Astyanax mexicanus: one gene and its partners. The protein of the gene in region 3 purifies or fractionates together with the protein of the main gene of each other region. This does not show direct contact. Links are inferred from orthologs where the notes say so. Each region holds a gene or a part of one and is shown on either strand. Other genes may lie near its edges.

Evidence for each region.
Region 1: the proteins of fbxw7 (region 3) and rbm28 purify together in Homo sapiens (affinity purification with mass spectrometry, with the first as the bait; 3 studies listed by BioGRID). This does not show direct contact. The link is inferred for Astyanax mexicanus from reciprocal best matches to the Homo sapiens genes FBXW7 and RBM28.
Region 2: the proteins of fbxw7 (region 3) and dpm1 purify together in Homo sapiens (affinity purification with mass spectrometry, with the first as the bait; 3 studies listed by BioGRID). This does not show direct contact. The link is inferred for Astyanax mexicanus from reciprocal best matches to the Homo sapiens genes FBXW7 and DPM1.
Region 4: the proteins of fbxw7 (region 3) and yap1 purify together in Homo sapiens (affinity purification with western blotting; 4 studies listed by BioGRID). This does not show direct contact. The link is inferred for Astyanax mexicanus from reciprocal best matches to the Homo sapiens genes FBXW7 and YAP1.

Annotation. Positions count from the first base shown.
Region 1 is NC_064416.1:15,735,379-15,742,915, forward strand, and holds the start of rbm28 (RNA-binding protein 28), read left to right. Parts: upstream 1-4,525; 5' UTR 4,526-4,787; coding exon 4,788-4,905; intron 4,906-6,382; coding exon 6,383-6,538; intron 6,539-6,639; coding exon 6,640-6,812; intron 6,813-7,537. Other genes in the region: si:dkey-5i3.5 (transmembrane protein 53), read left to right, coding at 534-1,024, 1,938-2,299. UniProt on the Homo sapiens protein: Nucleolar component of the spliceosomal ribonucleoprotein complexes.
Region 2 is NC_064420.1:35,198,683-35,206,393, forward strand, and holds the start of dpm1 (dolichol-phosphate mannosyltransferase subunit 1), read left to right. Parts: upstream 1-4,690; 5' UTR 4,691-4,738; coding exon 4,739-4,869; intron 4,870-5,788; coding exon 5,789-5,888; intron 5,889-6,182; coding exon 6,183-6,216; intron 6,217-6,370; coding exon 6,371-6,447; intron 6,448-6,552; coding exon 6,553-6,578; intron 6,579-6,719; coding exon 6,720-6,815; intron 6,816-7,345; coding exon 7,346-7,414; intron 7,415-7,507; coding exon 7,508-7,622; intron 7,623-7,711. Other genes in the region: collagen alpha-1(XX) chain, read left to right, coding at 125-160, 257-323, 491-679, 1,637-1,714, 1,863-2,021, 2,106-2,134. UniProt on the Homo sapiens protein: Transfers mannose from GDP-mannose to dolichol monophosphate to form dolichol phosphate mannose (Dol-P-Man) which is the mannosyl donor in pathways leading to N-glycosylation, glycosyl phosphatidylinositol membrane anchoring, and O-mannosylation of proteins; catalytic subunit of the dolichol-phosphate mannose (DPM) synthase complex.
Region 3 is NC_064432.1:20,344,217-20,351,833, reverse strand, and holds the start of fbxw7 (F-box/WD repeat-containing protein 7), read right to left. Parts: upstream 3,011-7,617; 5' UTR 2,599-3,010; exon of another isoform or gene 2,585-2,598; intron 1-2,584. UniProt on the Homo sapiens protein: Substrate recognition component of a SCF (SKP1-CUL1-F-box protein) E3 ubiquitin-protein ligase complex which mediates the ubiquitination and subsequent proteasomal degradation of target proteins.
Region 4 is NC_064416.1:3,554,699-3,562,082, forward strand, and holds the start of yap1 (transcriptional coactivator YAP1), read right to left. Parts: upstream 3,022-7,384; 5' UTR 2,498-3,021; coding exon 2,297-2,497; intron 1-2,296. UniProt on the Homo sapiens protein: Transcriptional regulator with dual roles as a coactivator and corepressor. Critical downstream regulatory target in the Hippo signaling pathway, crucial for organ size control and tumor suppression by restricting proliferation and promoting apoptosis.

The DNA of each region.
Region 1 (7,537 bases), on a different chromosome or scaffold from region 3:
TTTATCACTGGTATCAAATAATAATAAATAAAGCTCAGATATACCTGTTGTGAGGAAATCTCTTTCTTTACTAAAAAATAGGGAAATATACAGAGACTTAAGCTGAAATAATTGAACATTTGGCAGAAAACCTAAATGTATATATTTAAGACCATTAGTAAATAATCAGCATTAATGAATAAATTAGATGTGAGCATAGTAATAATGAATAAATTAGTTAATAACCTGTTTGTTGCTTTTACAAAAAAAATAACCTGTTGTAATTTGACTGTAATTAAAAACAAAATTGTTTGGTATAGTTTATTAGGCCTTTTAATATATTTGACTAAATATTAGTGGTTGACAAATATTCTGTTGATTCCCACAAACATATAGCGTTACATCTTATTATTTTGTATCTTATTATTTTTGCAAACCATTTAGTTTCATTGTAGGCACATTTAATCAAACAGTATACAACATAGCTTCAGGAACTGATGTATACATTCCATTAATCTGAAACAGAACCTGCTAACCACTTTGTTTTTCTGCAGGTCCTCCACTGTCATGTCCTCCAGGAATGTAAGCTTCAATGGGGTAGCGAGACACACGATCAGGAAGGGCGTTACATTCTATGCAAATGATTCTGTGGTCAACCCTGTAGCTGCTGGCCCACCTGACCAGCCCAGACCTCTTCTGCTTCTTCTGCCATGGTTGGGCTCCAAGCCACATGCCCTGGCCAAGTACTGCGAGATCTACCTCAAAACCGGATTCGATGTCCTAGCTGTGGAGACAGAGGTGGGACGGTTCCTGTGGCCTCGCTGGGGGCTGGAGTACGGGGGCCAGCTCCTGGAGCTCCTGGAGAGTGAACGTTTCGCACAGCGCCCCCTGCTGGTTCACGCCTTTTCAATCGGAGGATACACTTTTGCCCAGATTCTTATTCATATTGCCAGAGATCCCCAGAGATATCAGGGCTTGACCAGCAGGATCAAAGGACAGATTTATGACAGTCTGGTTGTGGGTTCATTGGAGCGGATGGCTATTGGTAAGAAAAAAAAAATCTATTGCACCTTTGTCTTCTGTGCTCTGTAAACTGTGCTACAATCTTAGATCCCCTCATACATTTTCTTTTTCCTTTTCTCTGCTCATTGTCCACTTTTTCTGTGAGTGCTCCTTAGCTAGGGAAGCTATAGTTTGCTGTATGTTGTGGACATTAACAGTCTAGGATGCCCCTAGACAAATTTGGAAGAAGAAATGGCTACATAAAGTGTCTGTAAAGTACAGCAATCTCCAGCCATCTGGTGATTGATACATATTTCAATATATGAGTTACAATATTTTGCAATGCTCTAAACAAGATGATATATAGCTCTGAAAAAACGTAAGAGACCACTTCAGTTTCTGAATCAGTTTATCTGATTTTCTATTTATAGGTATATGTTTGAATAAAATAAACATTGTTTGTTTTATAAAAATATATTGTAATTTAGAGCACTTATTGGTAGAAAATGAGAAATGGCTGAGATGCGGCGCTTTCAGACCTCAAATAATGCAAAAAAAACAAGTTCATATTCATTACGTTTAAAATCAATATTTGGTGGAATAACCCTGATTTTTACTCTCAGTTTGTATGCATCTTGGCATGTTCTTCTTCACCAGTCTTACACACTGCTTTTGGATAACTTTATGCCACTCATGGTGCAAAAATACAAGCAGGTCAGCTTGGTTTGATGGCTTGTGATCACTTATCTTTCTCTTGATTATATTCCAGAGGTTTTCAGTTTGGTAAAATCAAAGAAACTCATACATTTTAAGTCTCTTATTTTTTTTCCAGAGCTGTATATCTTTTTTGTTTTTATCAAAGTGTAAACAGTGATGACAGCTCTGATTGAGCAGCCTGAATTTAACGCATCTTTAATTTAATCTCCGTGTATTCCTCTGTCTTCCTTGCATTCCAGGTGTGAGTCGGAACTTGTTTCCCCGCTGGGGGCCTGTGGTAAAGCATGTCAGCCTGCTTTATTTCTACATGTTCAAACGCCAGACTGTGGACTACTTCAACATGGGCATTGACGCATTCAAGAAAACTCCTGTTCCAGCTCCTGCACTTTTCTTCTACTGTAACAATGATGCACTGTGTGATCCTGAAGCTTTGGAGGAAATGTTGGAACAGTGGGATAAACTGGGTATTTCTGTTACTAGCAAAAAGTGGGTAGAGTCGATCCATGCAGGGCATCTGCGTGCCCATCCTCAGGAGTACATGTCCATCCTGAAAAACTTCCTCTACTCTCTCAACATGGTGCCACTCAAGGCTAAACTGTAAAACATACATACAGTTACCTTATATTCAAGGTGTTTGATGTTTAGAATTTTGTTGAAAACACAATAAGAATTAATTTTAATATTATTGATAAAGTTGTGTGCCTTGACACTTGTTGCCTAACATAATTAATCAATATGAGGCATATGAAACTGTTTGTCAGTTAAAGAGAGGTTGATTATAAAATATAAAAAACCCTGGTGTAACAGTATGCTCAACCGTTATAATACCTCTGTATAGTGTTGTTCCATGTACTGTATTCCACTGATGTAAAAAGTACATTTAGACTTTTATAGTATGTTTTTTATGGTTTATATGTTTTGACATTACTAATGCACATGTATAAGTCTCCTTTTAGGGTTAAATGGTCACTTACAATAAAGAAGAAACACTAAGACATTAATGTACTTAAAAAAAGCTAAAATAATGTGGTACATTTCTTTTTAATTGAATTTATAAGAACTGTATGAAGACCAATTAGTGGTTAAATGTATTGTAAATTAAAATAAATATTTACCATCTCATTAAATGAATTACATAAACTGTGGTGAGCAACAATATAAGTGTACATTAATAATTTACTGCATATAAATATATGCAATGCCTCCAAACAGGAAAAATGAATAATCAAGATTGGCATTTTTTTATTATTATATTAATTGGATGCCATTATGAAATTCAGTTTTCATAATGATGACGGATTTGTGTGGGTGTAAGTGTGTTTGTTAAGAGAGAGAAGTTCACTGTATGCAATATGATCTTAATCCGTCCTCTTGTAGATTATAAACTGGAATAGCCTGTTCCTAATATTAGGTGTCTGCAGAAACAGGGTTGCCAGGACCAGGAAAAATATTCAACCAAAAGAGAGGTGAAAATCAGTACAACCGTGTCTAATAATTAGTGTAAAATGTGAATTTGTTAATTAATTAATTATTTTCCATAATTGAAAGCACATTAAAGGCTCGGGATATTAAATACTTACACTGCAGTTCTAGAAATAGAACTACTCTAGAGTTTGTATTTTGAATGGCAGAAGCAGAAATGGAGGGAATGGCTAATTAATCAATTAATAGAAAGATTAATTGCCAAATTAGTCCACCTAACCACATAAATGATCATTAGTTATAGCGTAAGTTTTCACAATTTCACAAAACTGTTGATTCATTATGACCCCAGTTATCTTATTTTAAATTAGTCACTTAATTACTTGTTCTTTTTAACCCTGTTAACTTTACAGATTACTTTACTCAATATACTTTAGACAATTTGGATTCATGACTGGGTGCCTTCCTGCCTCAGAATCTAAACTTCCAGCATTCTAATGACTCTTAATATATGTACATTTCAGAGTGAAATAGACAATATTTACCAAGTTTTAAAGGAAAGATGCAGCAGATCCATCCCTGATTGTGGAAACTCTACACTAGACCTCAAGCAGCTTGGACTGTGTGTCTCTCCACTCTTCCTCCAGACTCTGGGTCCTTGATTTCCAAATGAAATGTAAAATTTACTGATGATCAGTGATGGTTTGGAGAGACATGTCATCTGCTGATGTTGGTCCACTGTGTCATATTAAGTCCAAAGTCTGTGCCATATTTTCCTGAAAAATCTTACAGCACTTCATGCTTCCCTCTGCTGACAACTTTTATGGTGATGCGGATTTCATTGTTTTTAGCAGGACTTGGCACATTGCCCACTCTGCCAAAAGTATCACTTGGTCTTATATAATATTCTAAGTTTAGGAGACGCTGATTTTTGAGTTATCATTGGCTGTAAGCCAATTGCCAGTGGTCAGCAATTAAGTTTGGCTGTGGGCCAGATATTTTCCAAGCCATTATGTGGCGGGCCACAAAAAAAATTGAAAATGAAGTGTAATGGGATGGAGTGCTACAGACCAGTTGCTCTCCAGCCCAGAGGGTTGTTGAACCTAATTGCAGAACAGTTGAATCCAAAGCAGGTAAACCCAAGAAGAAAAAATAAATAAATAAACGCAGAAGCATTTGATATATTTTTTATTATCATTCATTATAATTGAAACAACCTCACATAACAACCTCAAAATAAATCAACGCTTAAAATACGTTGCGTAGTACATCTATATAATAGATAAGGTTCACATTTTGAGCTGAAATAAAGTATTTTTTCAATTATATTTTCTTTTTTGAGATGTATTAGTATGAGCTCTGTAGACCTCCAGGCGTGTGGGGGCGCTGTTCCTCAGCAGCTCCACATTAAGATGTGGAGGTATCCGGTGTGGTTGGAGAGAAGCATGTCAGCCCTGTAAGAAAACGTGTGTTTACAGGTTTCAGGGCTGGAGAACTGAGCGGAGCTGCTTATTATAATAATAAGTGTAGTACAGCGAGGCGCTGGCCGGGTCTGGCCGCTTCAGCGGGCTTAACTGCGGGGAGCGGAGGAGTATATTATACAGAGTTTAGAGCTGCTGCTGCTGCTCTATGTGCTTTAGTAGCTCTATAGAGTAAATCTGATCAGAATGGCTTCACTCACTTTATTCGTGTCTAATTTACCCGCTTCAGCCAGCAGTGCTGGTCTGGAGGAGCTGTTCTCTGAGGTCGGGCCGGTGAAGCGCTGCTTCGTGGTTAAAGATAAAGGTAAGTTTATGAGCTGACGAGGAAAAGAGTCCTGATTTTCTAATGTGTTGTTTAGAGTATTGTGGTGATCTCAGTGAAATAGGGGCCCTCATCAAATATAACATTTATATTCTAGTGGATTCTGTGTTAATATAAAGAGACCCTGAGGTGACATCATGTAAAAATATAGGGAAAAAATAATAATACGTGGCTACGACATATTAACGAGTGGGAACGAAATAAAAGTCGTTGGAACAAAATCCAGGTTGTGGGAACGAGATCCTAATGTTTGGCTACGAGTTATTGGGGCGTGGGAACCAGATCCTAATGTATGTCGACTATTTATTAAGGCGTGAGATCGAGATCCTTATGCATGTCCACGATTTATTAGGCCATTAGATTGAGATCCTAATATGTGGCCATGAGTTATTAAAGCATGGGAACCAGCTTCTAATGCGTATCCACGATTTATTAAGGCGTGAGATCGAGATCCTAATGCATGTCCACGATTTATTAAGCCATTAGATCGAGATCCTAATATGTGGCCATGAATTATTAAAGCATGGGAACCAGCTTCCAAGTTGTGGGAACGAGATCCTAATGTTTGGCTATGAGTTATTGGGGCGTGGGCACCAGATCCTAATGTAAGTCGACTATTTATTAAGGCGTGAGATCGAGATCCTTATGCGTGTCCACGATTTATTAAGCCATTAGATCGAGATCCTGATATGTGGCCATGAATTATTAAAGCATGGGAACCAGCTTCCAAGTTGTGGGAACGAGATCCTAATGTTTGGCTATGAGTTATTGGGGCGTGGGCACCAGATCCTAATGTAAGTCGACTATTTATTAAGGCGTGAGATCGAGATCCTTATGCGTGTCCACGATTTATTAAGCCATTAGATCGAGATCCTGATATGTGGCCATGAACTATTAAAGCATGGGAACCAGCTCCTAATGTGTATCCACGATTTATTAAGGTCTGGGAATAAGATCCTCATGTGTGGCCACAACTTATTAAAGTGTGCGAATGATATCATTAAGTCGTGGTGGAAATAAGTTACTAAAGAGCCCCTAAACCATAAATTTTTCATTAACAGCTGTAATGTGTTTTTTTTTAAAGTACTGAAACATACCAGTCCTGCTTAAAAAAATTATAAACTTTTCTTAACCCTTAAAAAACACTTATTTTGGTAATTTAAAATAAGATAATTAAGGACTGGCCATAAAAGAAGTCCTGCACACTGTTTTCATTTGGATTTATTGGTTTAGCTGTTGTGCAATCATGAAAAAGATTACACTGGTCAACCAGCATGACCATGATGACCAAGTTTCTTGGCTGGTATGACCATGTGAAGATATGAAGATGCAGTAAAAGTATCTTTAGTGTACCAAAATGAGACTAACAAACACACACACAGCTGTCCCCTGTTCCCTGATAGAATGTGGTTTATTTAATTTGTGTTTAACCTGCTCTATTTGTGTTTAACCTGTTCAGGATCAGAGAAATGTCGTGGATTCGGCTATGTTACATACTCCATGGCAGAGGACGCCCAACGAGCTCAGAATGAAATGAAACAGTATGACGGACGCAAAATAACCGTCGTTCCGGCAAAGAAAAAGATTCTTAAGCAAAAACAAGGAAGCAAGAAAGGTATGCATTTTTGTGTATGAAAGTGTATTCTATTTTAGTTTCAGTGTTTATCTAAAGGCTGTTTTCTTATCTTTATTGTTTCTTTTAAAATATTTTTACAGCCCCACAAGAAACAGAAGGTTCCAAAGAGGCAGCAGAAACTGAACACTCTGAAGAGACATCAGAAACCAAATGTTCTGAAGAGGCATCAGAAAAAAAAAGTCCTCAGAAGTCTAAAGGGACCAGAAACAATTCGAAGAAAGCCAGGCTTATCATCAGAAATCTTAGTTTTAAAGTGAGTAATATTATATCAAGTATATAACAATTTATAACAATGTATTGTTAATGTCCAGACAGTCTTCTTTCATATGCTAGCCCTGCATTCACACTGGCAGGAGCTTACACTGTGTGTGGATTTGTACCGGTGTGGTCGCTTAGCACGGAGGCTAATCAAGCAAGCTACCTATTGAGCCATCAGCTACTTTTATTCAGGCTTCATTTTCCTCCAAATTGTCAACACATTGTTGATTACTTTTTGTTTACAGTCAACTCTGGTCTTTTTAATTGTTGTTACCTTCACATAAATACAGGAAAATACCAGCATTTATTTTTTAAGGGATAGACCCCTCTAGTATAAATATAATAAAATCATAGTTTACACATTGTTGCACTGTTTGATAGTGTTTTCAGTAAATTACAGATATTTTTCGTTAATGTATTTAGTAAGCAATTATTAATATCCTTTGAGAAGTGCGGAATATATTAGTTTTACAAACACATTTTTGAATACCGTATTTTATGGACAGGATTATAAGGCGTGGTAAAAAAAAAAATAAGATAAGATATAAGATATATAAAAAATATATATATAAGCCACTTAGGTGACTTAAGCAGCTTGTACCAAATAAAAAAATATCATGTTTGTCCTTCATTAAAATAGTTATTCATTAATTGGAATTGAGACAAAATGCTATATATGTTTTTCCCAGCACTAGTCCGGTAGGAATAGTTCAGTGGAAT
Region 2 (7,711 bases), on a different chromosome or scaffold from region 3:
TCATACTGCTGGCAGGAATATTATATTAATTAATAGGCATTTCATAATGTTTTATCACAGTCATGGCGTTCTCAATTTGTAGTATGTAATCTTGTAATTAATAATGTCCATCTCTTTTTTTTAGGGGCTTCCTGGAAGTAAAGGAGAGAGAGGAGAGAAGGTGAGTTAAAGCTGTTGTGCATGGCACCATTGTATATTAAAAAATAAACATTTGATTGTGTTTTGTGAGATTGTTTTATTGTACTTTGTTTTACAGGGAGAGCCACAGTCTCTTGCCATCATTTACCAGCTCGTCACACAGGCCTGTGAGAAGCTAGTGCACAGTATGTGATGACCTCACACTGTCTTTTCTTCACATTTTTTGTGTCTTTATGTCAGAGGTTACAAAGTTAATATGATCCATATAGCATTTATAGTGATGCTTAGATCAGAACTCTTACAGTTCATGCTAGTTCTTACAGTGTTCGTATGTTATGTCACTGTGCTTTAGATGAAGTGCTAAAGATAGACGCCTTCCTAAATGAGATCAGTCGGAACCCCGTGCCCATCCAGGAGCCAGTCGGGCCTCCAGGTGAGCCTGGAATCCCAGGAGGGAAAGGACCCCCTGGGCCCAGAGGCCCACCGGGACGGCAGGGAGACCGAGGAGAATCAGGAAAACCAGGATACCCTGGCGAGCAGGGTGAGACATTATATAACTTTATAAAGATGATTATTCAACATTAAAATAAGTGATAAATCAAAATGTGCAGAATTTGTCTCTTTACACAACACATTAGAGATGAGGCTGCAAAGATAATGCATGTAATGTTAGTAAACTAGTTTTTATAGACACTATTTGACCACTAGTTTAATAGTATATGTACAACGTGCTTAAATTGGGCTGGACAATAATGCAGAATCAAAATATATCCCTATAAAAGATGTTTCAGTAATGATGATTTGATTTTAATACACATTTTTTGTTAGCTGGCAGCTACATGCTAGTGTTTCCGAGCCTAACTGAGAGTAGAGAAAACTATGAATATAATACACATATACACTATTTAACATGTGCAGTAACATTTACCGTATTTTTTGGACTATAAGGTGCACCTAAAATCCTTTACTTTCCCCAAAGATCATCAGTGCACCTTATACTCTGGTGCGCCTTATGTATGAATTTTACTGCTCAGGTTGTAAGGAGCTGGAAAGCCACTTCGCTTAGTTTTTCAGCAACGTTAGCATTAGCTCCTTACCGTGCTAGCTCATTGGCCATTCAGAGGTGAGTATTATTGGCCTGTAGCCTGCTGGCATCCCTAACTAGCACTGCCAGAGCAGCATTAGCATTAGCCGCTAACCACAGCACTAGCTCCTTCGTTGTTCAGAGGTGAGTATATTGAACTGAAGCCTGGAAGTTTACTGTGTTAAAAAAGCGAGTTGTGCGTATATTAGTAATATCGCCCTGCCTTACCGGATCACTCAGGGTTCCTTATTCTAGCTCTGTCCGGTGGCATTAGCGGCTAACCGCTAGTGGTTAGCGAGTAATCCAGCTGGGAAAAACACTTAGCATCGCATATTTCTATCATCAATACTTTTTACAGTCTATGTTAGAAACACTTTTCTTCCCCAGATTCCTAATTCTGCTTTAAATCCTCAGGAAGAAGAGGTGCATCTGGAGCTAAAGGAGCTCCAGGGATTAACGTTCAAGGTCCACAAGGATCAAAGGGTTTTGCAGGTATCTAATGTGAATATAGATCTATAAATGTTTTGGTTTTATGATCTATTTAAAGACATTAGTTAATACAGTTCGGGTATTGACTCCTTCATACTTTGTTTGCCCCTTAACAACCACTGTTTGATTCTGTTTGTGTGTAATACAAAAGGACCCCCTGGAGAAGCAAAGGTAGGGATGCAAGGGCCTAGAGGTGACGATGGTAATCAAGGTGCTCCTGGTCTTCCTGGGCTGGTGGGTCAGCCAGGTGAGATGGGGCCCCCTGGAGCGTGTGACAGTAGTGGCTGCCATCGAGGAGACCCTCTAGCAGGTACATAAAAAGGCTTCCTATACATCATCACATGTCCTACTGTGAATAATGCGTTTTCTCATTACATCTTTAATGACTTTACAGAGGATCCATACTTCGGATACCAGCCTTGATTGGAATAACATTGAGAGAACTGTTTTGCCGATCAGTTAAACACTGAGTCCTGAATCCTGAGTGCTTGCTCTCTCCCAGAAGAAGTAAAAGGGGCACTACTGGGTGGAATAGAGGAAAAATGGGCTGGCATGCAAAGGACATGTTTTAAAATCCCGCTCACTGTGTGACACAGCTGATGTAAACGACATCAGACTTCCAGCTTATCTTCATCTTTTAATTCTCCAGGAACTCTGGTTGCCCTTCATTATGTGTCAGTAATTTTTTTCACTTCTTTTATTTTTGTTTTATGTCTAATTATACTGTCCAGTTCCATGAATCACTAGAGTCTTAAGCAGGACTCATTTTGTGATGTATTAATTTCGATATTACAATAAAGAAGGGTCCCTCGTCATTTCATTTACATTTAAAGGGGAATATAGCCATTTTTGTTGTGAAAAGAGCATCTGTTTACTAAATAATGACAATTTCGCACTGAGAATGTTTTTAAAGCAATTTTATCAATGCTGTGGTTTATTGTGTTGTATTTATATATATATTTTTTAATATGTTGAAGGCATACTACCACTTCTTTGGTTTCCCTGATTTACTGCCTCCAAAACTGACATTTACTGTATAAAAATGTGATGAAAGAAAATACACTGTGATCATATTGTAATGTCTTGCTGTCCTTCATAAGCATAATGCCTGTTCTGTTTGAATCTGCACATTGAATTCTTGTGTTACAATTAACACTTTATTACATTTACTGTATTTAAATGTCTAAAACTGAATTACTGACTGTTGTGTTTTTTATATGTCTAAGCTTTTATAAACCACATTTGTTTGTGTGTGCATGTGTTTGTGTGTGAGATAAAGAGAGAGGGAGAGCACAGGTAATTAGTTATGTACCTATAAAAAAAAACAAATTATATTTAAAAGAAATTAATAAAATGTTTTTTTTTTCATATCACATTTGCCTGTGTCAACACATTTTCCTGATATAAATATGTAACAGAAATGTATATAGACCTGTTCTGTTCTGTATATGAAAGTGAATACATGAGAATAGAGTAAATGTTATCAGAGATATTAAAATAGACGCTGTTAAGAACTATTTAAAATAATTAATTTATTTTAGACCAGAGCTGCCCGAGCGTGGCCTGATACCCAACCCAAACTCAGGTCGACATATCCCACCGCTTTCCTTGGATCCTGTCGGGTGGGGCTAAAGAAAACTGTCTGTGACGTAGGCCTACTTTTATTAATGTTATATATTATTTTATATAAAGCTATGGCTTTATAATCACAATATAGCAAAGTTACAAATCAAACTCTGATCGTAAAAAAAGGTAGACAGGTGTGAGGTCCCCAAATTTGTCGGCAATAGACTTCATTTGGAGCTCCATTCTTAACATATAGTTTTTTTTACAATAGGCCTACTGTTTTTCCGTGTTGCACTGTTAATTAACATCACTCTGAATAGATTTCACTCATTAAGACAACTCAGAATCATAGGTAAAAAGATTTAGCACTGTACATACAAAAAAAATATGCAGTCAAGCTTTACCAATAATTGGCAATGAGTCTTTCACATATCTGTAAAGAAATTGTGGCTCGCTCTTCTTTCCAGAATTGTTTTCCTTCAGCCACTGAAGGAATATTTACCCAAGTCCTGAGGATATTCAAGATGTTTTTTTTGGCAAGTGTGAGATCGGCCCCTGTGTTCTTTTTGGTCAGCAGTGTTTTTTGCCTTGGAACTCCCATGGAGACCATTTTTGTCCAGTCTTTTTCCTATTATTGAATCATTAACACTGACCTTAACTAAGGCCAGTGAGACCTGCAGTTCTTTAAATGTTGTTCTGTGTTCTTTTGTGACCTCCTGGATGAGTCGTCCATGTCCTTTTGGAGTAATTTCAGTTGGCCGGACGGCCACTCCTAGGAGGGTTCGACATTGGACCATGTTTTATCCATTAGTGAACAATAGCTCTCACTGTGGTCTGTATTAGATTTTTTTCAGATTGAGATCTTTTATCCAGCTTCATTTTGTCAGACAGTAATGAGGCCTGGGTGTGGTTAGTGAAACTGAACTCAGCTTTCCACAATGTGTGAATAATCACAGTTAATTTATGGGGGGGGGGGGGGGGGGCAAACAATTTTTCACAAAGAGCTGGATTGTTTTGGATAACTTTTCCTTAATAAATAAAATTAGAATTTAGAAAATACTTTTTTATATTTACTGAGGTTATATTTGTTGGATATTAAAGTTAGTTTGATAATGTTAAAAATGCAGTATGACAAAAGAAAGAGAATCTGTAAATCTGTAAAAACTCCACTGTAGAATAGTACTATTTCTCTTGCATCATTCATAAACTTCCCTATTCTGTTGAGTGGGTTTAGATGGCCGGTTCAAAAAGAACAGTAATATTAATTTCCTATAACTTCCAAAATCACATTAAGCAGATAACTACACAGGCTTGTCTGATTCAGAAATTGTTTAGTAGTCTGTTCTCAGCTACAGCTGTCCCGGAACTCAGCCCTGGACTGAGTGTAGGAACTAAAAGCGGGAGCGCGGGTTTCACCGGGCAGCTGTCCGCGCGCACATCCGCCGTGTAGTTCTGCCCAACATGGCAGGATCTAAGAGTAAGAAGAAGAACAGAGAGGAGGCTGATAAATACTCCGTCCTGTTACCGACCTACAACGAGCGGGAGAACCTGCCCCTGATCGTTTGGCTGCTGGTGAAGTACTTTGGGGAAAGGTGAGTGTTAATAGGAGGTGGAAACAGAGCTAATGCTAATGCTAGCCGGCTCAGAGCTGCCAGATAAAGATGAGCTGTCACTGAAGTGCTGTTTACACTCCTCAGCTAAAACACAGCTAATAAAACTCTATATCCATTATTATTTCGACTTCTGCATACTTCACACTTTGAGATTTAACATAAAAACATAGTCATTGAGAGTATACAATTATTATTAGATGAATTGTGGAGAAACCTGAGATAAATTTACAATGGGGTGTTGTGAGAATAAGGTCTTTAAATACATATTAGTTAGTATTTGCATCTCAAATAATTTGAATATTATTGGAAAGTTGTTGATGATTATGGCTTACAACCAATGAAAACCCAAAAATCCGAGTCTCAAAATCAGAAAAATTAGATCATATAAGACCTATTGGTACTTTTGGCAGTGTGGGCAATGTGCCAAGTTCTGCTGGAAAATGAAATCTGCATCTCCATTAAAGTTGTCAGCAGAGGAAAGCATGAAACCATTTTCTGGGAAAACACTGCACTGACTTTGGACTTGATATAACACAGTGGACCAACACCAGCAGATGACATGGCTGTCTAAACCATCACTGATCATCAGTACATTTTGTATTTCATTTGTAAGTCAAGGGACCAATGTCTGAAACAAGAGTGGAGAGACACACAGTCCAAGCTTCTTGAGGTCTAGTTTAAAGTTTCAGTTAATCAGTGACGGTTTGGAGAGCCTATATGTGCTCACATTTAAACACACAAACTTTAAACACAATTGTGACATTGTCCAGCTGTAGTGTAGGATTATAATGTATGATTGTAGTTATAAATATAATGTAATCTAATCTAGTCCATTCCCCTAGTTTCCTATTTATAGCCTAAAACTAAAGCCCTTCACTCTCATTTTAATTTTGTACAGTGGATACAACTACGAGATTATAGTCATCGATGATGGAAGCCCTGATGGGACACTCCAGATCGCAGAGCAGTTACAGAAAATTTACGGAGAAGATAAGATTGTAAGTTGAAGTTTATATCTGGGTTGTGTGGTGGGCTTATGTCATTAATACTTGTAGCAGAAATTAACAATACAATACCCTTTCTTTTGATTTACTGTCACTGGTCATTTTTATAAGTCAGTCTGTGACATATATAGTTATATGCATCTGTTCAAATATTGTACACTATTGCACATATACATGGTTTTTAAATAATCCTCACTGCTGTAGAGTATGAGCTTTTTAAAAATGAAAATGTAATATTACTTATACTGTCCTGAGAATCTAATCAAAGTGTGTGTTTCTTTCTTGAAGGTCCTGAGACCAAGAGAAAAGAAATTGGGTTTAGGTGAGCCAAAATACATTTTTCTTTTTCTTATTGGTGTGACATGCATTTAGATTAATTTGTTAAATTCTGTTAAATTTCTGTAGCAAGTGAAAAGTGGGTTTGAGGTCTGGAGAGAAAACTAAATTGTGTTTTTTCTTTCAATTATGTTTTTCAGGAACAGCATACATCCATGGCATTAAGCATGCCACTGGGAACTTCATTATTATTATGGATGCAGATCTTTCTCATCATGTAACTAAATAATTGCTGCTATTTTCTTATTGTTCTTTATTATCTGATATCTTTTTTAATTGTTTTAGGCAGTGCATAAGTTAACTATTTCTTCTTTACCTGCAGCCCAAGTTTATCCCAGAATTTATCAAGTAAGTAAAAACTACTGTAACGTTATGCATGTTTAAATACAGAGATCTATTACTGAACTAGTTTGACCTGTATTCCAATTGTTTTTTTGTGTGTTTCTGTATTTCTGTGCTGACCACTGGAATTTTTTTGTTGTTGTGTAGGAAACAGAAAGAAGGAGGATATGATCTAGTGTCTGGAACACGGTACAGAGGAGATGGCGGTGTGTATGGATGGGACCTGCGGCGAAAGCTCATTAGGTAACTAATTAATAACCTGTGTCCTACACCACTCTGTTTTGTGCCCTCCCTTAAATATTTGTTAAACCATGTTGCCTATTAACCATATTGAAGCTGAGTAGCCAAAACATGTTTGAAATGTTTCAAAAATGATTAATTATTTTAAAAAGCTTTAATGACAGACCCTTATTTAGACACTGAAGCTAAAACTAGAACTTCACTATCTTCAATCAGAAAACTTGGTACTGTTATGCTTTAAAACACTTTAAAATAACTATTGGGTGCATTTAAACTTGGGCTTGGCTTGGCCTCTTCCAGATATAATCCTGATACTCACTTTTAAGCAAAGATTAGATGGGTTACCGTCTCTGTTAGGAACATTAGTTTAGTTCTTTCTGTTATAAGCTAATAATAAAAACATGGCTTTGAATTATTTGCTTCCTCATAGGTTAAAACTGAGTAAGACTAGCCTGAGTAAGACTAGCCTTTTAAAAGTTTTAAAAATATCATTATATGGTCTCATTTTCTTCCATGCTCTTACATCTCTCTAGCCGTGGGGCAAATTTCGTCACACAGGTGCTGTTGAGGCCTGGAGCATCAGATCTGACAGGAAGTTTTAGGTATGTGGTACAACATGGTATTATCATAATTACTGATCTCTGTGTAAACAGCAGGATGTACTGTTGCTTACAACGATTGTTTTATTTTCTCAGGCTTTATAAGAAGGATGTGCTGGAGCGTCTGGTAGAGCGCTGTGTGTCTAAGGGCTATGTGTTCCAGATGGAGATGATTGTTCGTGCTAGACAACTAGGCTACTCCATTGGGGAGGTCAGTCCACCTGTACTTTACATTACATGGTTATTTTATATCTTGCTTTCATATTGAACTGAACTATACTGTTATCAATTTACTACCAT
Region 3 (7,617 bases):
TAACGAGTAAGTCATTCCTTACAGCATATGTGGGCAGAAAAATGTAAGGTCAATCAGGGTACAGCACTCACAGAAAGATGCTGGACAACCAATTCCTAAGTGTTGGAAATGATGCAGTAAAATTCTTTTCACCTAAAATGAGTTGATTATTTTTATTACAAAAATGATAACAGAACATTACAACCACAATAAACCACTTTATTTTATTAAGGAAAATATTATCCTCAAGTGGAGACAAAGAAAGAACTTCCACTTTGACTAGACCACTATTTTAGCAAAGCTATGTAGTTAACTCCAGCTGATGAACACTACTGCACCCCAGAAAAAAAGATCTGAAAGTTACTTAGAAGTTAACTTTCAATATCTAACCCTGGGTGCACCTTAGTTAGCTATAACGCTATTTTAATAACCTTAAAAACGTGCAAACGCTCAGAACTGAAGGAATACAACAAACACAAACTTTGAATAGTTAATAACTTTCGCTCCAAGCCGGCCACTCCACGCTCATCACGTAGCTCCAGGCTGGATCACCAGCTAGATAGCTGCTAGCAGGTCACAGATGTAGCTAGGTTGTGTGTATCCAGTTGAACATTTTTTTTATTTAAACTTCTGCCAAAGCACAGGCTGGCTTTTTCACAGCACAGAGCATTCAAAACCAGAGTTATTCACCAGCTGCAGGGAACAGGCAGAGGACTTAAAGCCAGTTAGCTAAAGATAGAAAGGTAGTTAGCCAACTAGCAGGCTAGCCAGACCTTCTCTCCAGAACTTGAAGCTGAAAACCCCCCTTCCCCCCCCCCCCCCCCCACTATCCATGGGTTTCACACCACATTTATACATGGCTTTGAACGATTAAAAAGAACAACCCAAATTAATAGAAGCACATTTTCTGCTATAAGCAGAATGGCGCTCTGGTTAGCCAGCTAGCTATACAAGCAAGCTAACTAACCTAGCTATAGCAATAGCTCAATAGCTGGCTACGTTAGCCACCAGCAAGCTCGTTAGCTTAGCATTATCTAGCCACGGAGCTAACCCAAGTCAAAACCAAATGCTTCCCGGTGTAGTGAGGTGGTTTATGCAGCCTTCAACTCCACATTGGAAGCTCGTTTTTGGTGTAGATTAAACAATGTGTTATGATATAATATTTAATATTGTTATTTGACGTCAATGAAGCACTCGAATGCTTGATATTTCTTGAACCTTATCTTATCTAATACAGTTATGTTTTAATTTGATATTCTTTAAACTAGGTAGATCATCATCTGATGGTCCTTGACTGACTTCTTGTAGCTAAAAACACACTGAACTGCTTTTATATATTGTTATTTAAGATACCTTATAATTCATATTTTATATATAACGTTTTAATACTATTCCACTACTAACGTTACACTTTTATTTTATTTTTTTATTTTTCGGCTTTACGTTTTTAAACCGTTAAACTATGATTAACACATACCTGTTTTAATATGCAGAGCAAAGTGGATAATGAATAATCATGTTTTTTTTTTTATAAAACATTATTAATGCGTGAAGATTACTTGTTAGGTTTTCTGAAATATATGAAGAAAACAAACGTGTTGATAGTGTAAATTAAAGAGATTCATCTTCGGTCAACCACAGCCACCTCTCCTTCACTCTCAACCCCTAAAGAACTGCTTGGCCTGGGCAGACTATGCAGTTCAAGTGGTTTTGTTTGAAAACAACAAGGAAAGTAACATTTTTTAAGGAAAAGTTTGTTTTTTTTTGCCTCATGTTCCTAGAAACCTATTTACAAACACTGCAAACAAAACAAGCTAATAAAAACAATCATGTTATGGGCTTTAAAGTTTAAAGTGCAGCAATAGTTTTTTGCTCAGCGTTACAGGGGATACATCTAAAATGACTATTTCTACTCTTACTAAAGTAATTGTAGATATCTACAAGTACATTTTTATTAGTTAAGCAGAAGTATGTGGTTAATTATGGTTAAGCAAAAATAAGATTCAGATTAAGTGTAACGTTAAATCAAATGTAGGTTAGTTAGCTAGCTTTAGCTAGCTACTTAACGCTTCGTAACATATGAATAATAAAATTACATTAGGTCTAGTCAGAATAATGATATTACCTAGAGATGTAAACCTGATAATATTACTAAACAATGTCTTTTAATAGCGGAATTATGGAGTGAGTGTTTCAGCTAGCATGGTTGGCATTAGAGATAAATTAGATTAAGCAAACTTGGCTTATGAAACAAAGTCAGTATATATACGTTTATGACATGGGTTTGGTTTTGAAACGGCCAGGCTTGCCTTTTAACGATATTGTGCATTTAAATTGAAGTAAAGACATTTCTAACCAGCCAACACAGCTAGTATTAGATAGGTATGCTAAGCTAACTGGCTAGCTAGCTAGCTACCCAGAGGTAGCACAGGCTAATATAGCCGCTCTCCTCTCTCCGTTAGCATGAACGATTAGCTATTAGCTTAGCTGGGCTAGCTAGTTAGCTTTTCGCTTCGCCTCTCTCAGCTCGCAGTGTCCCTCGCCAGCTTCTTACACTCATATTTACCAACAATAAGCAACAATTGACCAACAGAAACAAACAGACCGGGCTGTTTTCACCTTCGAGCGAAGCTACGTCAGTCCGCCGCGCGCCTAGCGGCTCGCTTTTCCCGGACTTCTGCTCCCGCTGTTGTTTTCAGGGTCTCCTCTCAGCCCAGGAGCGACTCGCGGTACCGGTGGTTCTCGCGCCGACTTCGCGGTCCCCCGCGTTCACTCTCTGGGACTCGTAGCTAGGCAACGCTCGCTAGCCGAAGCGGCGCGTGCTGGCTAATATAAAAAAAAAACCCAACGCCTCTTCTGAGCGTTTAGGACGCCGACCGCGAACGTTCCCGGTTCAGGCTGCTCCGCGCTCGAGCGGCTCTTCCCGAGGAGTGTAGTTAGTTTTTATTGGGAGTTTCTTTGATCTCCGCCGCGTGCAGTGCTGCTAGAATCCCGCAGGCTCCGCGCTCGCGACTCTCACACAAACACACACATACACGAACCAGCGCGAGAGCGAGACCCACACTGAAGCAATGAACGAGTCGTGTGTACGAATCGGCCCATTTGAACCGGCTGGTGCGGTTCTAAATAAAAGAACCGATTCGAGAGTAAAAGTTGACTAAATAGTTAACCCTTAGCTTAGAGAATATTTTTGTATGTTTCATAGGTTACAATCCATAAATTACCCTAAGCTAGCTAAGTGGCTGTGTGGCAATGCTTTTGTGCTTGTTGTTTTTTTTGCAGTTGTTTACACTCACTGCTCAAATCTGAAAATATATAAAATATATATGAAATATAAGTATACAATATATTTTTACATTTGTTTGTTTGTATCTTTGATTTTGATTCGTAGTCTTTTGCTCATTTGTTATGTTGTGTGCCATCTGAATGAAGGGAACGAAAACGATTCGATAGAATCGATTCACCGAACCCAACCCCGACAATAGAATCGGTTCGTTAAACTGAATCAAACTGAAACATCACTCGACAAGCTCCAGAGCTTCAGGCTCACAGTGATGATGTCGGTCAGATCCCGACCACGCCCCCCTCCCCCCAACCTGCAGTCGCTGGGTTGTGATGTACGATGCACGTGGACCCACATTTAAGGGAACAAACTAAACTCAGAAAGAAAGATAGAGTGATAATTGTCTTAAACATTTTGATGCAAATGATAATACTTGTTTGCCAAACAGTAAATATGTAAAGCAGAATCTTTGTGTGTGTGTTTTTTTTTTTTTCATTTTTTTCTAAATCATAAATTATAAATTATAAATGATGGATGATTATGTTCCACATCCATGTACATTTTTTAAAATGTAAATTCTACTATTTCTTGTAACATAAAAACTCATTTAAGTCAACTAGTCATAGTGTTTGTGTGAGTATGTGTGTTTGTTTGCAGTGGCTGATCATAGTGTGCACACATGCTTTAGCCCATTTAGCAAAAGATTGTTAAATCAAACTTAATTTTTCAATTTCATTAGAAACTGATTTATTTTTGTTCACATTTTGTGAACATTAAAGATGTTTGTATTCTACCATTATTACTTATATTTGTTTCTGCATTGGAACAGTAAAAGGGACTGCATCATCATTATTATTATAAAGAAGACACCCACAAATCCCCTATCCTGTTATATGAACATTGATTCAATGTCTGAATTGTAATATTTACTGAAACTGGCGAGTCCATTATAAATAAAGGTTGTATAGGTGTTGTTGTTTTTTTTCAATATCAACATTAAAAGGTGTAATACAACAATAATTTCTTCAATGTTCTTTGCTACCTGGGATTAGATTTAAGGGTGTAAATGCTGTAAAACAATGTGGAAAAGAGGTTATTTTTTAAGCACTGTACCGCTCCCCTGGCTCTCTCACTTGCTCTGCTGTTTGGCGTCTCGTGTTAATTCCCATGTTCAGTATCTTAATCTAGCAGAAACAGGCTGAAGCACCAAAGAATGTGTTTCTGAGAAGCGTAGAATTGACACTGGCGTCCTGCCAAGCCAGGCTGAAGAGGAGGCCTCTGGCCTGCAGGAAAAAGAGGGTTTCAGCATTCAGAGACAGGCCAGCAGAAAAAAAATATATATATACTGTAAAATAATTCCTTCTACCCATCTTCCATCTCATTCTCTCTTCAGCAGTGCAAAGTATTTACAGTAGGCCTGTCACAATGAATGTTTTTGTTCTAATGATAAATTGTCCTAAAGATAATTGCCATAAACAATACTATTGTCATTGTAAGACAGTTTAATGCAAAAAGGTTTAAAAGCACAGGACTTTGGATAATTAAGAATATTCATAATAATCTTAGGTACCTTTTAACATACCTTCTATACACACAGGAGATGTTTCTTTACCCCTCTAATCTAAACAGGTTGGTTATCTAATGTTGCCTTCCTTTTACCTTAGCAATTGTGTACAGTATTAGATCACCTTTGGTTTTGATTACAGGCACTTTGACAGCCCAAAATTACATAAATTTTTGAGTACACACAATATTTCAAAAGGACAATGCTTATTTACATAATGCTGCAGTAGACACAGATACTGTGACATGGCCACCCAAATCGTCAGATCCGTCCCCGAGTGAAAATGTGTAACAATTGTGGAAAAAAAAATTGAGACCTTTTGGAGAAAAAAAAATCTAGGCATTCTATACACACAAAATAATATACACACTTGACAGCCCAATGGTGCATTAATAAGCTTCTGTAACAGGTGTCCAACCTTTCTGAACACACACTCCTATGTACTTATTCCAACAGGACAATCCTCATCCACATACTGCTAAAGAGCTTCCCTTAAAGATACAAGAGCCATGGGCATAGTTCTGCCGATCCCTGACACCCTTAGGAGCCTCTATGGAAAACTCTATTACATGCTGAGACATTTGACATGTTGCATAACACATGCATTATAGACTACTTCTGTATGTGTAGTTGAATAAATATTGCCCATTTAATTTCCTTCTGAATAGCATTACAATCCCACACTTTTTTTCTAATGCAACTATTTTTGAAACTATTTCATTAGCAGTGAATCTACATTAAGATTCCTAATGAAGACCATAAAAAATGTTAAATAAAAGCTAAAATAAAATTCCATAGTAGTATAGTCTCATATACACACACCACACATACTGTAAACTCATATCAGACATCAGCGAGTGAATGCCAGACAGAGCAGAAAAGTCTTGGAGAGGACAACTACAACAAATGAGTTCCATCTGGTTCTGTTTTTCAGTGCTATCGCTACACAAAGAACTACAAAAAAAAAAAAAAAAAAAAAAACAGAACAGAACATTTCCCTGCAGCCGGACCTGTTCACCCTCCACAAACTTCACCTCTCTCTCTCTCTTTCTTCGGCTCACACTGACGCTCGATCGAGGTTCAAGTTCCTTCCTGGAAGACAACCTGCTTTTCTAGTCCGATCTTTTACCAGATGCTTGGAGGGAGGGGAGCAGAGGAAGCCTGTGATGTCATGGAATAGCAAGACCCTAAAAAAAGGAGGAATGTGAGGAATTTAAACTCCTCATACAGACAATTATAAATACATTTCCTAACACAGTCTCTCATGGAATTTATGTACACTGATGAGCCAAAACATTATGACCAAGCCAGTTGATGCTGGAGGGCCAATTGCACAGGTCTAAAAGATAAAAAAAAAAAACCTGCAGTCTTCAAGTTTAGCTCTAACCCTTGTTAATTATAATTTCCTCCACCCCTCACCTCACTTCTTTCTCAGTGACAACAAAAAATGCTGCTTCCCTCCTATGTTCCTCCTGTTTTTACCATTTCACTAACAATAGGTTAAATATATGAATTTTGAAGCACCAATTTTTGGCTAGTAGAATGTTTTCTCAATGTTACAGTTAAAGTTCTTTGGATATTCAATCTGTTAAGTTTTTTAATATCTTTTGAACATTGTCATTTAACGTTTTAAAACATGGTAATGTCACCATTTATGTTTATCATTTTGTGAATGTTACTTTTGATGTTACCGTTCCGTTAATATTTGTCTAGCTGGGAACGTAATGTAAAAAATGGTCTAATAATGTTGTGATGCAAACCATAATTATGTCACATTTTCAGAATGTTATACACACAAAAGCCTATACACACAATACTGTACTGTATTTTATTTAGTGTGGGCCATAAAATAAACCATTGAAAAATTGTGCCCATTTATTTCTTTCACAATGACGCCATCTGCTGGTTACAGCTTTACTGTCACTGTAAGTGAACAACCCTCTAGCTTCAATGTTTCCACTTCTGCACCACTTCACACACTTTACAATTATCTTACTCGTTCCCCACTGTTACCCATCACTATAAATGACGAAGTTCTCCTGGAAAAGACTCAACAGGACAGTGTGAATCCACCCAAAGGTCACAAAGATTGCAAGCAACTTCACAGCTGGAACAAATGACCAAATTACTGATCTATCCAGGTCCTTAATATTAATTTCTATTACGTTTTATACTCTTGGCTTTCGGGTTATGTTAGAAAGGAGTAGGAGGTGAGTGCCAGAAGAGCAGCAGGTGAGCAGCAGGAGGGTGCCATGTGAGCAACAAATGAGTACCAGAAGAGATATCACCAAATGAGATAAGCAATAGTTAAGCAGTAGGTGAGGGCCAGAAGAGCAGTAGATGAGCAGCAAGTGAGTGGTGGAAGAGTGGCAGATGAGTGCCAGAAGAGTGGCAGGTGAGCAACAGGTGAGTGCCAAAAAAGCGGCAAGTGAGCAACAGGTGAGTGTAAGCAGAGCAGCAGAAGAGTGGCAGGTGAGCAAAAGATGAGTGCCAGAAGAGCAGTAGATGAGCAGCAGGTGAGTGCCAGAAGAATGGCAGATGAGTGCCAGAAAAGTGGCAGGTGAGCAACTGGTGAGTGCCAGGAGAGCAGCAGAAGAGTGGCAGGTAAGTGCCAGGAGAGCGGCAGAAGAGTGGCAGGTAAGTGCCAGGAGAGCGGCAGAAGAGTGGCAGGTGAGCAGCAGGTGAGCAATAGGCTCAGCATACTGTGCTCTCCTATCTACAGATCATGGTATTCTCTACCTGTTTACTTTCCTCAACCATTCCCAACATGACAGCCAGGTTTGAGCGCACT
Region 4 (7,384 bases), on a different chromosome or scaffold from region 3:
AAATTTGCTTTAAAACACTTGCAATCGCTTACAGTATCACAATATGCTGTAATATATTAAATCATAGTCCCTATATTGTGATTTTTATTGTATCGCCAAGCTCTTGTTAATACACAGCCCAAGTATATACAGCTCGGGGACAAAATAAATAAATAAATAAGAGGACACTTAAAAATTAGGAGTTTCTTTGGAATATAATCAAGAGGAAGATGGATGATCACAAGCCATCAAACCACCAAACTGAACTGCTTGAATTTTTACACCAGGAGTAAAGCAGCATAAAGTTATCCAAAAGCAGTGTGTAAGACTGGTGGAGGAGAGAGAACATGATGCCAAGATGCATGAAAAAAACTGTGATTAAAAACCAACCAGGGTTATTCCACCAAATATTAATTTCTGAACTCTTAAAACTTTATGAATATGAACTTGTTTTCTTTGCATTATTTGAGGTCTGAAAGCTCTGCATCTTTTTATTATTATTTCAGACATTTCTCATTTTCTGTAAATAAATGCTCTAAATGAGAATATTTTTATTTGGAATTTGGGAGAAATGTTGTCTGTAGTTTATAGAATAAAACAACAATGTTCATTTTACTCAAATATAAACCTATAAATAGCAAAATCAGAGAAACTGATTCAGAAACTGAAGTGATCTCTTCATTTTATTCCAGAGCTGAATTTATATATATGACTTACGAGATCAGATCAGCTGTTTTTCTGCTGTAAGTCTGAACTGGAGCTCTGTTAGTGTATCTGTAGAGGAAGTGAGTGGAGATATGGAGGCGCAGGGTTTCCTGCAGTGATCTGATCTGCTGAGAAGAGGAGGAGGAGGAGGAGGAGGAGGCTGAACTGGATAAATCTCAGCCCAGTAGGAGGAGGAGGGGTGAGCATGCGCAGAAAACACTCCCAAACTCCTCAACACAACACTAAATCTAATACTGCTATTCTACACCTCCCTCCTTCATTCAGTTCTCATTTAAAAACACTAAAACAACCAAATTATATCACTCTCTCAATTAATATATGCATGGGTTTAGTCCGAGTGTGTATAAAACACATTTAGCTTATATAAGAAAAAGAAAGACTGTCTGTAGCTGTAAACTCCAAACTTAAAATAAAGTGTTTATAATGCTTCAAGCATGTTTTTATCTATCTGGAGTAGGATTTTAACAGTTTAAACAGTGTATAATTGTGTTTTTAAGCTGTTTTATGAGTTTATATTTAGTTTTAGGCTGTTTATATTGGAGTCTGGAGTGGGTTTGTAACAGTTTAAACTGTGGTGAAACATTTTAAACAGTGTTTTTAAGCTGTTTATAGTTAGTTTTATGCTGTTTTTACCTGCCTGGAGTGGACTTAACAGTCTAAACTGTGGTAAAGTATTTTAAAGTGTTTTTAATCTCTTTTAAGTGTTTTGTACTTAGTATTAGATTGTTTTTACCAGTCTGGAGTGGGATTTTAGCAGTTTAAGCAGTGTAAAAGTGTGTTTCTAAGTGGTTTTAAGTGTTTTATAGTTAGTTTCAGGCAGTTTTTACCCGTCTGGAGTAGGATTTTAACAGTTGAAACTGTGGTAAACTATTTTAAACAGTGTTTTTAGGCTGTTTTATAGTTATTTTCCAACAGTTTAGCAGAGTTTTAAACCGTGTACAAGTGTGCTTTAAGCTGTTTTAAGCGTTTTATAGTTAGTTTCAGGCTGTTTTAACCTGTCTGAAGTAGGATTGTAACAGTTTAAGAAGTGTTTAAGTATGTTTTTAAACAGTTTTAATTGTTTTATTTCACTTGGGATTTTAACAGTTTAAGCAGTTTTAAAGTTAGTTTTAGTGTGTTTTACCTGTCTGGAGTGGGATTGTAACAGTTTAAGCAGTTTTAAAGTTAGTTTTAGTGTGTTTTACCTGTCTTGAGTGGAATTTTGTAACAGTTTAAGCAGTGTATACGTGTGTTTTTAAACGGTTTTAAGTGTTTTATAGTTAGTTTTAGTGTGTTTTTACCTGTCGGGAGTGGGATTTGAACAGTTTAAGCAGTTTTATGGTTAGTTTTAGTATGTTTTTAGCTGTCTGGAGTGGGATTTTAACAGTTTAGGCAGTTTTAAAGTTAGTTGTAGTGTGTTTTAGCTGTCTGAAGTGGGATTTTAGCAGTTTAAGCAGTGTGTAAGTGTGTTTTTAAGCAGTTTTTAGTGTTTTCTAGTTAGTTTAAGTGTGTCTTTACCTGTCTGGAGTGCGATTTTAACAGTTTAAGCAGTGTATAAGTGTGTTTTTAAGCAGTTTTTAGTGTTTTCTAGTTAGTTTTAGTGTGTTTTTACCTGTCTGGAGTGGGATTTGGGCTCTGGAGGTTTGAAGAAGGAGTCTGGGAGTTTCCTCATGCGCATGGGGACGGACGGGGGCACGGCGGCGTTCTTCGGGTTCATCACGGCGTTAAACAGCGCCTCCAGGTCGGTCTCCGAGTCCCCGCGGACGTGCACGATCTGGTGCCCGGCGGGAGGGTTGTGCTGGCCCGGATCCATAACTGCCAGAAGATTAGGACCAGCTGTAAAAAGCTCCAGCAGCGGGAGTGGAGGAGTGGAGGGGAGGGGGAGCAGGCCTGGAAAAGTTTACTAAAAGTGTAAAAACTCGGGGAAATTCAGCCCGTAAACTCCAGAAACGCGCGGAAACACCGAGATAAAGGTCCTCCGGATCCGGTCCGCCCGGGTTTACCCGAGTTCTGCTGAGATAAAGCCAGAAAAACACTGAAACAGAACCGAACTCAGAACCGCAGACTCGGACTCGCTGCTGCTGCTGCTGCGGACTCGCGAGGACGCGCCGAGCGACGCGGGCACGCGCATATCTCTCTATCCAGCAGTTACTGCGTTAAAATCCAGTTTAAAAAAGTTTTAAAAGTATAAAAACAGCGAATTAAACTGTATTAAAGCGTTAAAATAGTAAATATTCAGGCTGAAAGTGGTAAAAAGCCCGGAGTCTCTCTTCCTCTCGGCTCCGGACATCAGGACTCGGTTCAGTGTGAGACTAAATCACTGCTCTCCCAAACTTTACTCCCAACTTTCTGGGCAGGACTTCAGGAACTCCGAGTCACTTCAGGAGTCGACTCTTCACAAAAAGATCCGGTTCAAAGAATCGATTCGGCTTGGATTTACAAATCTACCAAACGTCCAAAACAAATAAAATATATTATTCCAGCTGCCACTTAAAACTTTCTGCCTAATAAATTAAAATTTTTCATTTTATCACCATACAATTAAAAATAAGCGATTGGATAGAGGGATGAAAAAGTATTTTTACTTTTATTTGCAGTAACTGCTCTTCTAGGGGAATATTCGTGTTCTATTAGTTTCACTGTTTTTTGAGATATAATGTTCAGTAATCAGATAAAAAAATCAGGTAAAATTATTTTATACTCAGATTTACTACAGTGATGTGCGTTTATTGGTAACACTCTGTTATACATAGGATTCTCTTTTTTATCTACTTAGTAGTAATAAAAGCTTTTTGTATGTACTTCTCAGAGATGTAGATTCAGAGAGAGAGAGAGAATAAAAATTAAATTGTTCGTTTTTCATCATGGAATATTACTTTCATACAATTTTAAGCATATTAAAGCATATTATAAATAACAAAACAATAAAATAAAATATATCTCAAATAAAAAACCTTAAAGATTAAAATGAAAAACAATGTGTAAAAAAGAATATATAAAATATAAAAGGTTAAACACACAAATACAAATGAAACGTTTAAAATTAAATTGTTGGCTAAAATCAAATAGCTGTTAAATAAAGGTAATGGACTATTAAATTGACTTATAAATGCTTTATATACCGTAAAAGTAAGGAGATAATGTATTGAATTGAGGAAGTTATTTATTAAATCAACGGAGAACATTTTAGATTCAATTAAATTTTAATAAATCAGTTGATCTCATTTTATTAAACTAAGGGAACTTTTTTAATACTATTAAATATTATTTTATACATTATTTTTATTTTTTCTTAACAATATATATATAAAAGTCCCTCCTGACTCCTGATCTGTTTTTTGTTTTTAATGATTTTTACTTTTTCCAATGTTCATTGTTCCGTTTTTTTTTAGTTTTTTTATGGATACTTTTATTAAAAACACCTTTTTTTAAATCATGCTGATTATTTAAATAATTTATGCATTATTTATTTTTGTGAGAGTTAAGGGTCATAAGTTTCTTTTTTTGTCTTTCTATATATATATATATATATATATATAAAACACATCAACATTCCCTTACACTCGTGAATCGGTTCAAACGAATGATTCAGTTCATGGATTTTGACTCTCACGTGACCGCTGAGTTAGAAGGGGGCGGGGCTAAACTGGAGCGTTTAAAGACTCCACAGGCTGTTGTTTATAATTTCTTATAACTGCAGCTAAAATTAAACTTATCCAGTTTAATTATCTAAATATTCTATTTTACTTACTTTACTTTACTTATTTTAAACTAAAATAGCGATTAAACAAAACCCAGCCATGTAACAGGAGTGTATTTTGTTATCCTGTTACCTGTTGCTTCAACTCTCTTAAAAAAATCTCTAGAATAACATTAAATAATAACAGAATAACAGAAAAATAGTATTTTACACTGATATAATGAAAGTGTGGTGATTTTCTGGTGCAGTTTGTGCTTCAAATGTTACCAAAAATCAAATATTTAAATAAAAAAAGGGTAAATATTCATATACCTGTATACTTCTAAAAACCCTAAATTATCAAGGGAGAAAAATATAATTTTGTGGCTTTAACTCTAATGATATAATAACCTACTTTTAATTAAAGTATGTTGATTTTCTGGTGCAGTTTGTGCTTCAAATGTTACAAAAAATCTAAAGCAAAAAAACAAACAAATAAATAAAAACAGATTTTTAAATAAAAAAAAATATATATACATAATTTTAAAGAACATAGTTAGTGCTTTATTTTATTTAAAAAAGATATATGTTTTAACAATAAAAACTCAACAAAGGGAAATAGCTGATATATTGTCTATTTTTCTGGATATTTTTGTTGATAAGACTGAATTTTAATAGAAATCAACCTCTTTACAATATGTGAAAAAAATTGCCTTAATTTGTTTTATTTTAAAAGTCTTCATAAATGAAGAAATATAAATTATAACAGTTAAGAAAATAACTGATTTTACTTAATGAATAAAATGGTTGATATATTGTTTATTTTTTGTATATTTTTGTTGGAAGGACTGGAATTTAATTTTAGTAGAAATCAAACTATTTACAATATGTGAAAAAGTGCCTTATTAAGGTTTATTTTATTTGAAAAGCCTTAATGAATGAAAAAAAAAACGTAAAAAACTTTTAAAAACATAAACCGTGTATGTATATTTGTATGTATAAGTGATGGTGGGTCACATGGTCTTACATTTGCAGAACAAAGCTTGTGTTAAAGCAGAAAATCAGAGTTTTATTCTGATTTTTATTGAGTTTTATAGAGTTTTATGTGAATTGGTGCTGCATGCAGGCTGGTCTTTGCTCTCATTCACCCAAAATAAACAGAGCTCTGCACTTCAAAGCCGCCGCTCTTTAAAAATAAAGAAATAAATGGTTTTTCTGCCTCCGCTGTGCTCCATGCTGTTCCCATGATTGTGATGCTAATCCCCCTTCCCTCCGCTTTCAGAAATCGTTTTGTAAAGAGCGAGCCAGGCCGTCTTCCTGAACCCTGAGCCGGGAGAGAGGGTGTATAACTGTAGAGCGTGAAGAATCCAAGAGAAACTTTACTTTTATATACTTTCAGTTCTTTTATTCTCTTCGTCTCTTCAGACTCTCTATAAACTGAAGAGCTGAAACAGTGATCAGGATAACTAGAGGCCTGACACCTACCAGACCTGCCCCAGTCTATAATAACTTATCCTCTGCAACAGAGGGAACTCTTACTCTTCCTTTCCTGGGGCGGTCCTGATGAGTGCCAGTTCCATCATAACGTTTTTGGACGGTCTTTGCGGTGACTGCACTTAAAATGTTTCAAATGTATCCTTCAGGCACGTTACAAACAGTATTAGACATTATCCTGACGTATAATTTCAACATTCAACCTTAAATTAACATTCATTGATGTTAATCACTCAGTAAAACACTAATATCCTCCTGAGACCTGGAATTTTACTTAAATTTCAGTCCTACATAGTAACTGAATAGTGAAGTGATGCAGACTATGAAGGAACACATAAAGAATCATGTAGTAACTAAAATAAGCTTTGACCTTATCTAGGACCCTTGTGAAAAAGCTGTATATTTAAATATAATCATAGTGTACTTGAACTATATGCAGATAATTAAAGTATATATATATATATATAAAGTATATTTCAGTATACTTTATTTGGCTGTGCTAATTTCGTACTGGTGATGTACTTAATACAAAAAAAAAAAAAAAACCTTAGTATTATTTTAGAAAACTGCTTCTTATAATAATACTACTTTTACTAAATGTGCCATAGGAGCCTTTATTTCTGCAATAAAACTATACTTCAGAGAAATTTGTTAGCAAAACATATATTTTTTGTTGCTCATACAAATGAAAACTGTGCTGATTAAACTTTTATGTCTTAAAACTAGGCTTAAAAAAAAAGTTCGCTTTAGTTGTGTGTAATTAAAATAACTTTATCAGCTAATTCTTGCAATGAGATATGTTGCTTTTGTTTTTCAAATGTGATGTTAAATGTATACTTTAATTAACTTTTTCACACAAATATACTTAAATTGTATTAAATATCATTATATATAACATACACATTTACATTACATACAGTCTGTTTGGCCAAGGGCTAATAAACATTGCTTCATTTGTAAATTTGAAACTAAACAAAGTTTCTACTCATATCTTGAGTTTAATTCATTTTCTTTTACATTTTATTAAAAAACTAATAAAAAAAAGAGTAGCACTTTTTTGAAAGAAATGTAACATAAGAAAGGTGAAGGGCAAATATTAACCATGTAAGCTGTTTATATTGCTTGCAATTTAGGTGAAGCGAGCATGTGTAAAGCATTTTAATGTAAAATTGCTTAATTTTGCAAATATATGAACATCACACAAGGGTTAAGTACAGACCTATTTTAGCATAGTTTAAGTATAATTCTTTTCACAAGGGGAGGCTGGTAACTCTGGTGAACTTATCCTCTGCAACAGTGGAAACTCTTGCTCTTCCTTTTCTGCTGCGGTCCTGATGAGTGCCAGTTTCATCATTTTAATGTTATTGATGTTTTTTGCGATAACTGCACTTTTTATTAATATTATTATTTTTTTAATTAATATTAATTTTAGTTCTTATCTTGTAAGTAGCAGGTTTGTTAACTCAGGTAACTCAGGTGAGCTGCTGCTGATAATAATGTAATTTAACACATCCACTGGAGGTGCTG